Arabidopsis thaliana: one gene and its partner. The protein of the gene in region 2 interacts with the protein of the main gene of each other region in a pairwise test. Each region holds a gene or a part of one and is shown on either strand. Other genes may lie near its edges.

What was found.
Region 1: the proteins of NUC (region 2) and RSZ22a interact in a two-hybrid assay, tested with the Arabidopsis thaliana proteins (one large-scale study listed by BioGRID).

The regions. Positions count from the first base shown.
Region 1 is NC_003071.7:10,447,820-10,451,754, reverse strand, and holds RSZ22a (RNA recognition motif and CCHC-type zinc finger domains containing protein), read right to left. Parts: upstream 2,125-3,935; 5' UTR 2,052-2,124; intron 1,930-2,051; 5' UTR 1,919-1,929; coding exon 1,830-1,918; intron 1,741-1,829; coding exon 1,652-1,740; intron 1,557-1,651; coding exon 1,307-1,556; intron 1,215-1,306; coding exon 1,089-1,214; intron 932-1,088; coding exon 895-931; 3' UTR 571-894; downstream 1-570. UniProt on the Arabidopsis thaliana protein: Probably involved in intron recognition and spliceosome assembly.
Region 2 is NC_003076.8:17,771,253-17,776,571, reverse strand, and holds NUC (C2H2-like zinc finger protein), read right to left. Parts: upstream 3,717-5,319; 5' UTR 3,482-3,716; coding exon 3,343-3,481; exon of another isoform or gene 2,937-3,342; coding exon of another isoform or gene 2,915-2,936; coding exon 2,518-2,914; intron 1,924-2,517; coding exon 1,059-1,923; 3' UTR 823-1,058; downstream 1-822. UniProt on the Arabidopsis thaliana protein: Transcription activator that binds to the DNA sequence 5'-CTTTTGTCC-3'. Regulates photoperiodic flowering by modulating sugar transport and metabolism. Regulates SUS1 and SUS4. Transcription factor that regulates tissue boundaries and asymmetric cell division.

The DNA of each region.
Region 1 (3,935 bases), on a different chromosome or scaffold from region 2:
AAACCAATGAGCAGAAAAATCTCTCGTTTAAAGATTAGTCCATGTACCAAACGTGATGAAACCAAAGGAATGACTATTGCAGATGGCGATAAGTGTTTATCCAAGTGCCCACCTCAAACAAAGCAGAGACGTTCTACATACTCTAAACTATTCTACACCGTAAGACAAGTTTCTTCGAAGCCTGCCTGAAAGGTATTAAATACCTGCCAGAGTAGCAAGTGCAACTCCTCGGCCATTTTAAGTTCAAGAAAAGCAAGACCAGCAATCATCAGAGCCGATGAAGTTTTCAAACATAAGAGCATCTAGATGAGAAGCAGAGTAGATGTGAACTAACATAAAGATCCCAAAGCAGGCCGATCAAAATAACCAAGAAGCCAGAAGCAGTTAAGCAATGAAGCAGAAGTAGTGGTAAACAATTATGAAGATCCCAAAGTAGGCAGATCAAAATAACGAAGAAGCGAGAAGCAGATAAGCAATGAAGCAGAAGTTGTGGTAAACTACTATGAAGATCCCATAGCAGGCCGACCAAATTAACCAAGAAGCCAAAAGCAGATAAGCAATGAAGCAGTAGAAACCTGAAGAAACCTCGAGATGATAGAACAAAAAACAAAGAAAATGCATAGGTTTTTAGCAGAGCTTTTGTTTATGTCTTTTAAGAACATGGGTAGATATTTAAAAGTACTTTACCTAACGGCAGATACAACTATGGCTTCATAATCCAAACGCAATAAGAAGCTTTCCAGCAATTCAAAAGTAGCAAGCATATCCAATCCACCACACAGCTAAAACATATTCTCTTAGTGAAATTCACAGATACTAATTTCCTCTCCTCTTGACGTCACAAGCAAATAGTTGTCTCCTGATCCCATAATTTGCTATCTAGACAAGTAACACTCAGCTCCGGCTTCTGCGCACATCTTTCAGACCATTTCTGCATAAACAAATACAAAAACTTATCAGCCACATGGACTCTGTTTTTTAACACAACGTCTAACAAAAAAGTCTTTGGGACGATAATGCCACTAGTTCAGTTTCAATTTCTTATATTGATTGAGATACAGTAGACTCAAGAGCAAGGGGAGTTTTACCCATTAGCATATGGCACCTCGTCACGTGCTCTATAAGGTGGTGGTGACCTACTGTAGTTGCGACCACGAGGAGAAGGACTACGACGTCTTGGAGGAGGAGGAGATCTAGCACGAGGGCTGTAACTTCTGTGAAACCAAAAGACAAGGTAATAAATCAATGAGGTAGACCAATTTCTTTTAGTTGCAAATCGTCAATCAGAAAGAATAGGGACAATAACCTTCGTCCTCCATAGGTAGGACTCTTTCTGTATCTAGGAGGACTGCGACTACGGCTGCGGCTACGACGCCTACCACCAGAACCACCACGAGAACGACATTCACGTGCAAAGTGACCAGACTCACCACACTCATAGCACTTCAAATCAGAACCACCACGTCCACGACCACCATCACCTCCTCCACGACCACCACCACGACCTCCACCACCACCACGGTTATGAGACTGCTCTACCCTCCATCCATTCTTGCCTACCATAACAATATAGATCATATATATATCAAACTCATAACAACTCATAACAACTCATAAAACCAGACCAGTAGAATAGAAGACCAACGAATACCATCTACTTCACGGATGGCGTCACGGGCATCTCTTGAATCTTCAAAATCAAGAAAAGCGTAACCAGGAGGTCTTCTAGCAACCCAGACACTGCACAGACACCAAAAGAACAATGAGGATAAATGCAAATTCACACACTTTACATCAACTAAAAACCAAAAAGGAGTCAATTTATGTACCTCCTGATCACACCAAAGGAACGAAACTCATCCTCGAGTTCACGTTCAGTAACTCGCGGATCCAAATTACCAACATACACACGCGACATCCTCAAGTTACCTATCAACAAAAGGCTTCAATTCAAAAACTTTGAAAGCGATGAATTCAAAAAGATGAAATCTATAGATCGAAACTACGAATGAATCTGGAGTAAAGAAGTGACAACGGAGATCGGGATTTACCTGAAGAAACGGCTTTGGCTCTTTCTCTTGCTCGTCTGTGAGAAATTAGGGTTATCGATTCGAAATTGAAGATGAAAGTTATTTTTTGTGGGTCAACTTTAAATGTCCTTCAAAAGTTATTCCTTGATTTGGGCTTAAAATGGGCCGCATGCGATATGGTACAGTAACAATAATGCCTCATATTCATGCAATTACTGATTATAAAATTAAAATGTCAGATGTTAAATAATAATAATTCAAAATTAAAAAAAAGCTCTCAGCATATAAAAGGAATTCAAAAAAAAAATGAGTATCACTCTTAAGTATTTATACGATTTTCAAAAAAAGTTGATAAAACTTACCGAAAATACAAAAAAAAAAGAAATTGAAATCTACATAAATCCCCAAAAACTACAACACAACACAAGGAGAAAACACTAAGAAAACACAAGCGAAAACTTCACAAGTAGAGATCCTGAGAAAAACACTGTTTCTAAACCCCAAATTGAAATCTCGTCGTAAATTCAAATTTTAATTAAAAAATATAAAGAAAGCTCTTTTCTATGTCCACTGAATATTTTATGTAAATGAAGAAAGCTCTTTTTATGCTCATACTTTTATGTATATACTAACCCATACATCTCAGATGATGAGGATGAGAGAGGAAAATAAAACTTAAGAGGGAGACTATTTGACCCAAAAAAAAAAAAAAAAAAAAAGAGAGAGACTATTACCTCTAGTTTTTGAACTAAGTGAAGAAAACTATTTCGTTCAAATTTTTATTTATAATAATAATTCACTCATTAAGCATCACAAATTAGACAATAGATGCATCAGCCTATTTGTAGGCCTAACCAATCCTCTACTTTATTCATCGGAATCGATCACTAGATATATAGTCGATAGGCAAACAAAGATATAACCATAAAAACCAATTTTGACACTATTATTTATTTGCGTAATGCTAGTAGGTGTGTACAAATGAACATAATTATGACCATGACAACGGCATGGTAACCACTCATGCCTCGAAGTTCACCTTCTGCTACCAACATATTTCCATCACATCATCCTAGCATTATTAAAGAGGCTAAGATACAACCTTTTAGCTCTTCTAATGCTAATAATCCTAGCATCATCCTAGCATTATTAACTGAGTGCATCTTTAGCTCTTCTAATGCTTTTTCTAGAGAAGAAATGGTTTGAATCACCCTTATTTTACTAATAACATATTTGGGTTTAAGATGAGTTTCTAACTTAAAACCAATTGGCAATGAAACTAATCATTTATAAGTATATTACTTGATAATTTTTCTAATTTTCGAGTGTAACTTTCTCTCATTAACAACTAACCATTCGATTATTTTAAGAACTTTGGTTTTGATACGGTTCAGTTTGGTCAGTTATTAAAATTATTGGGTTTTTTTGCCCATGCCTATATCTCCCAAAATCACAATATTCAAATAAAAACTTTTACCACTTGAACCATGGTTCTAGTTTAGAATGGTTTGTTTGGAAAAGACAATAGAGGCTAAATCGTAATTTTGTGCTTTATCACTTATGAGTTTCACTTTTAAATCAGTCACTTAACAAAAACCGGACGTGACAATATATTATGTCCAGATATTAATTTGGGATTAGCCTATAACATCCAATCATTCCCAAGAGCAATGATATAATTTTGTAGTTTTTTATTTACTATTTAGTGCGCACCTTTCTTGAACCAAGACTCCATTCAGTGACAGGATTAGATAAGTATGTGTGTATTATTGAAATGTCGTCGAGAGTCCACTTGAAGTTTGAACTATGACGACAAGAATTATTCCTTTTCTCTTCTTTCTATTCAGATGGAGAGAAGCTCACCTCAAGATTTTTAAAACGGCACTCAATTACGACTTATTTTGA
Region 2 (5,319 bases):
TATTTGATTTTAAATGTATAGTAGACTGTGAGTTGTATATGTTTTGTTGATATTATCTATATTGTTTAGTGTTTAAGATTATACACTTGTAGTTTGATTATTAATTTAAGAGTTTCACATGTAGTATACCATCTTGTATTAATATCGATATAAACCCGTCAATTCTAGGATTTTCCAGCTTGTATTAAAAATTGAATCACATCTAATATGTTATTAACTATTGTAGTATATAAGATTATAAATTTTCAATATAATATGTATGAAATTGAATATAAATATTTCAAATTTATGTCTCGTTACTCAGTAGAAAGTTTTCTTAAATATATTTTTCACCCGTTATAATATTATTTCATGTATTGAACAGTTTATATTCGTTTTTAAAAATTTAAATTATGGCATATGCGAAAAAACTCTAATTATTTTTTTATAATGATGATATTATTTTTCCGTAAAAATAGAATCATATAAAGATGAGAAATGAACTATAATAATTAATAAAAAATTAATATGATAATTTAGATACCAAATATAGTTTGTTGATTTTAATTGGTTACTTTTTTGGAAATTAATAATGTATTTCGTTTTTCTAATTAAATTAAATTAATTAAAATTTAGATATCAAATCTTATATGTTGATTTTGATTGGCAATTATTTTTGAAAATTAATAATGTATTTCGTTTTTTAATTAATTTAATTAATTAAATTAGTATTTGACTTTTTAATCCTTATAGAGATAAATTAATTTACTCTTTAAAATTTTATTTCTAATGGCATACCTATGTAATTACTTACAAAAATTAAGGTTACATTTAAAATGTACTTCCCGTATGATAAAAATTCAAAAGATTATGAATGTCTTGTGAATGTCATTGACATATATCTTGAAGATAAACACATTCATTATACATATATCATAAGTTTTAGAATATTGAATTAATAAAAGAAAACAACTTCCATTACCATATACATATGTTATCTTAGAAAATGGTGGAAATGACAAAAGATTCCTTCTTCTTTTACGTAATTTATGCATTAACCCCGAAATTTTTAAACTCTTTCAAATCCATCCATTGATAGACGATGGATGGCACAACGTTTGTACACCAACCCCGAGGAAATCCCGAGTTTGCCCTCCTCCACCCACTTCACCTCCACCATCAACTCTTCTACGTTTCCAAGGGTAATTCTGTAATTCATCCAAGGCAGACGCAACCGTAACGTCATTTCTAGCGTTCTCGATCTCTTGATGATCATGACTACGACTCATTAACCCAATGTTGTTGTTAGACCCGAACAAAGCAAAAAACTTTTCGCCACTGTCATAACTGGTGGTTTGATCGGTGGATTTAAGCGGGAAACTTTGAAGAAACGTTGATGGGTCATTGGTCGCTGCGGTTGTTGTAGAAGTAGCGCCAATTTCAGCAGCTTTCTGTAGTAAAGCTGTCGCGGACATATTCACGTTTGAATTTGCGTTTGCGTTTTGTGGTTGGTCGCTGCTGAATAAAGAAGGGGCAGAGAGAGTAGTGGTAGTGGTCAAACTTGCGTTTGCGTTTTGCGTAATCTGCTCATCGTGAGTATTATTATTATCAATGCAAGCAGACGCTGCCTTAGCGTTTCCAAAAACCCAATCGTAGTCCGGTTGCGGTTGAGGCGGCGCGATATCTTGTCCCATCCATAGAGAGAGCGACGAAGAAGTTGGTGGCTGAAAATGTTGATGATGATGGTTTGGATTTGTTTGCGGTTGTGGTACAAATGGTTGAAGCGGTGGGATGAATGTTCCCATGAGATATTGATAGTTGAGATTAACTGATCCTGGGGCTCCAGCCGCGGCTAAACCGTTGAGATGAGACACTGCGTTTATCTTAGCGGTTTCTTCCGCTAAGGCATCGCAGAAAGCTCTATGAGTGATAAAGCTGTCTCGCCTGTTTCAACCAAAACCACCATTAGTTAACGTCTTAATCAACATTTATCTCAATGCATTTATATCAAAGTTTTAACTGATGAAAATACTTGAAAACATTTAGCTGCCTTTTCTTTATGTGCAGCAGTAAAAGTAGAGAAAAACCTAAGTACATATTTCCGTAACATAACTATTGATGTGTCAATCTTGTGTTGACACTTTTTCCGCATATTAAGTAATAAATAATGTTACCATTTTGAACCATACACACATGAAGTACTCCATTATTTGTATATATTATTATATCTAGCTTATGTTATATGTTCATCATGGTTATTATAAATTTATACCACTTTTTGCCTCAATCATGACACTAACAAAAACATTTTCCCAAGCAAGAAACTTTACCCTACTTCAAAAGAGATAAACAAACACATAGGAAATGACAAAACATACTTATAAAACTTAATCAAACTACATATTGACAAAAACGAAGATGTAGATACTATAAAGCTACTATAGAATAGCTTTCGAACATGATCAATACAAACGACAACACATATATACATGAAGCTTATTTTTAATTTAATTGACAGAGAAAGAAAAAAAAGTGTACCTTGAGAAAATGGTGCCACAATCGCAACGGTACTCTCTAGTACCACAAGTCTTGGAATGAGCTTTCCAATCAGATTGGACTGCGTATCTCTTAGCACATTTCTCGCACGTCCACTTCTTCTCCCCGTGTTTCCGGCAAAAATGCTTTTTGATTCCAGTGAGATCGCCTAGAGCTCTAGAGGAGTGATGGTGGACACATGTCTTCTCGGGGCAAACGTAGACACGTTTTCTCACTTCTTTGCTTGTCCTCTGCTTCAACTTCCATGGAAGATTATGTCCTCGCCGATGAAGCTGTAAGTTTTGGTCTCTTTGGAAACCTTTGCCACATACCTCACATAGGAACCGGTTCGTAGCCATCAAGGTCGTGGGGGATAAAGCTATCACTTCAGCTTCCGGATCTAAGTGGATCATCATTAACATTTGTGGTTTCTTTAATTAGGTCAATTCGGAAAACAACATCTATTTTTGGATCGGATCATGTACTTTAGTAAAAATAATGTGTGTGCTTTTCTTGGTGGAGGTAATAATAATAAAGGGTATGTAAATATATTTTCTCATGGAAACTATAATGCGATTTAAAAAAGAAGAACTCTATAGATCAAATAAAAGTTTTAATTTACTAAAAGGCCTAGTATTTTCACATTAATTAAGCATGAGCCAGTGATCTATAACTCATGCAGCCAAATACTACTTTTGATTTAGGTCAAGATCCAGAACAAAACAACCCAAGAAAATTAATTTATAGGGGGCAAAAAAATAGAAAAGATACTAGGGTTTTCTTTTTAGGTGATGATCAAGCTAGCTGAGATTTAATATAAATAATTACCAGGATTTCCAGGGAGATTTCTCTTTTTCTTAACAAGAGGAGGATTGATGAGAGATTCATCATGATCCAGGGTTGATGAGCTCTGTGGCTGAGCAAAACCTGATCCACTTGAGATTGTTTGAAGAACTTCACTTGTCATGTCTTCTTCTGGGTTCTTGACTTCTTGGAAGAGAAATTAAAAGTAGGTTTTTGTATAGTTCAGAGAGAGAGAGAGAGAGAAGGAGACAAAAGGTTAATATAAGAAAAAGATTAGAAATACTAAGAAATCTGCAAGTTAACTATGAACGAGAAGGAAAAAACAACAAAGACAAAGATATATTGGGTTCTCCACTTATATATGGCTTTTGTCTTAACCTATACCACTCTATATTAGCTCCTATATATAAGTGTGTGTGTGTGGGTATATTAGCACCTTGATATGTTAAACTGTTGCAGCCATTTTGATTAAAATATGTGGTTAATTGTATTTTTCTTTTCCTTTATGAGATTATTTTAAAAGAGCAAAGTGGATGGCGGTGGAAAATCATAAGCTGAAAGTGATAGCAGCAGAGCCAATAAAATTTCAAAATGCAGAGATAGAAAAAATTTAACATCCCTTGATTACTTTATAGGCACCCTATGTTTGCAGTTTCACTATGAATTATTTCAATATAATAAACAATTTTCTTTTAGTTTGATTCATTTTATTTCATGTTCATACATCCTTAGTTTTGTATAGACATGGTATTTGCTAAGAGTAATTTTAATTACATTTTTTCACAAATGATAATCATGTATTTATGCATCATACAGCATCAAATGCTTCATTTATATTAAATCTTAGAAAAATCGATTAATAGCCTTGCAAATTCGAAGCGAGCTGTTAAAAAATGTAATTAAATTACCAAGATATTCGAAGTAATTTTGTTGTAGTAGTGCGTTATGACACATAGAAAGTTGATATTTCTATCTTTTCTATTGAGAATGATTATCTCGTTATTTTTGTGTTGCCCTTTCCTCTCCATTTTTTTTTCTGGTTTTTTGGGTCCAATAATTACTTACTTTTTGTTCCTACATGCTCATGTTAACTCAGTGCAAAAAAACAATCTTACTATATTTTTTTTGTTTTTTATTTTATTTTTTACACTTCTTTCTATATGTTTTTTTGGGGATAAAATGTGAAGTTATTTACCAAAAGGAACAGTTTATTAGAAGATCTTTTCGTAGCATCAAAGGTTCATTTGCCAAAAATAAAATAAAAATAAACAAAAATCTAGATACAACAATATTAGGCACTAGAAAGGGCTTTACGCATATGTAAACAAACTACTGGGAGATCAAAATTGTGTACGCCTTGTGATTTTTTCAAGCTTGTAGAGTATATAATACGAAATGCATCGATCAATCTGCCTAAAGAATGATGAGGCTGTAGTGGAGTGTAGTTAATCTTTTTGGATTCAAGGAGTACTTTGATACAGATAGCATAAAGAAATTGTTATATGTATATATATATATATATATGTTTTTATATATCCGTAAATTTTATCTTAAATGAATTATGTTTACAAAGTATTGTAATGTATATCTAGTTACAATAAGATACATTTGCTTTGCCAACAAATAAAAACATTAATCTGATTTATCAATTGCACAATCTCTATAATGCTTATTAATTTGAAGGTATGCAGTATAAGTAACAAAACAATGTATTAAAAAAATTGATTGACATTAGTGATCAATAAGAAAATTATAACTTTATCTATCACCTTTTTCTTTGCAATAGTTGTATTCAGTTTAAATACACAGTTAACGGGATCACTATTCACTCCCATCAGATATCATATACGGACATAGTCATTTTTGTTAGTTATTCATGAATCAGAATTTTTCACAATATGTGAAAGAGGTAAAACAGATCCAACGGTTATGGTCACATCTCTTGTTTGTCGAAGTCGAACAAAGCCTGCCATGCACGTGTACCCATGCACGTGCTCTTTA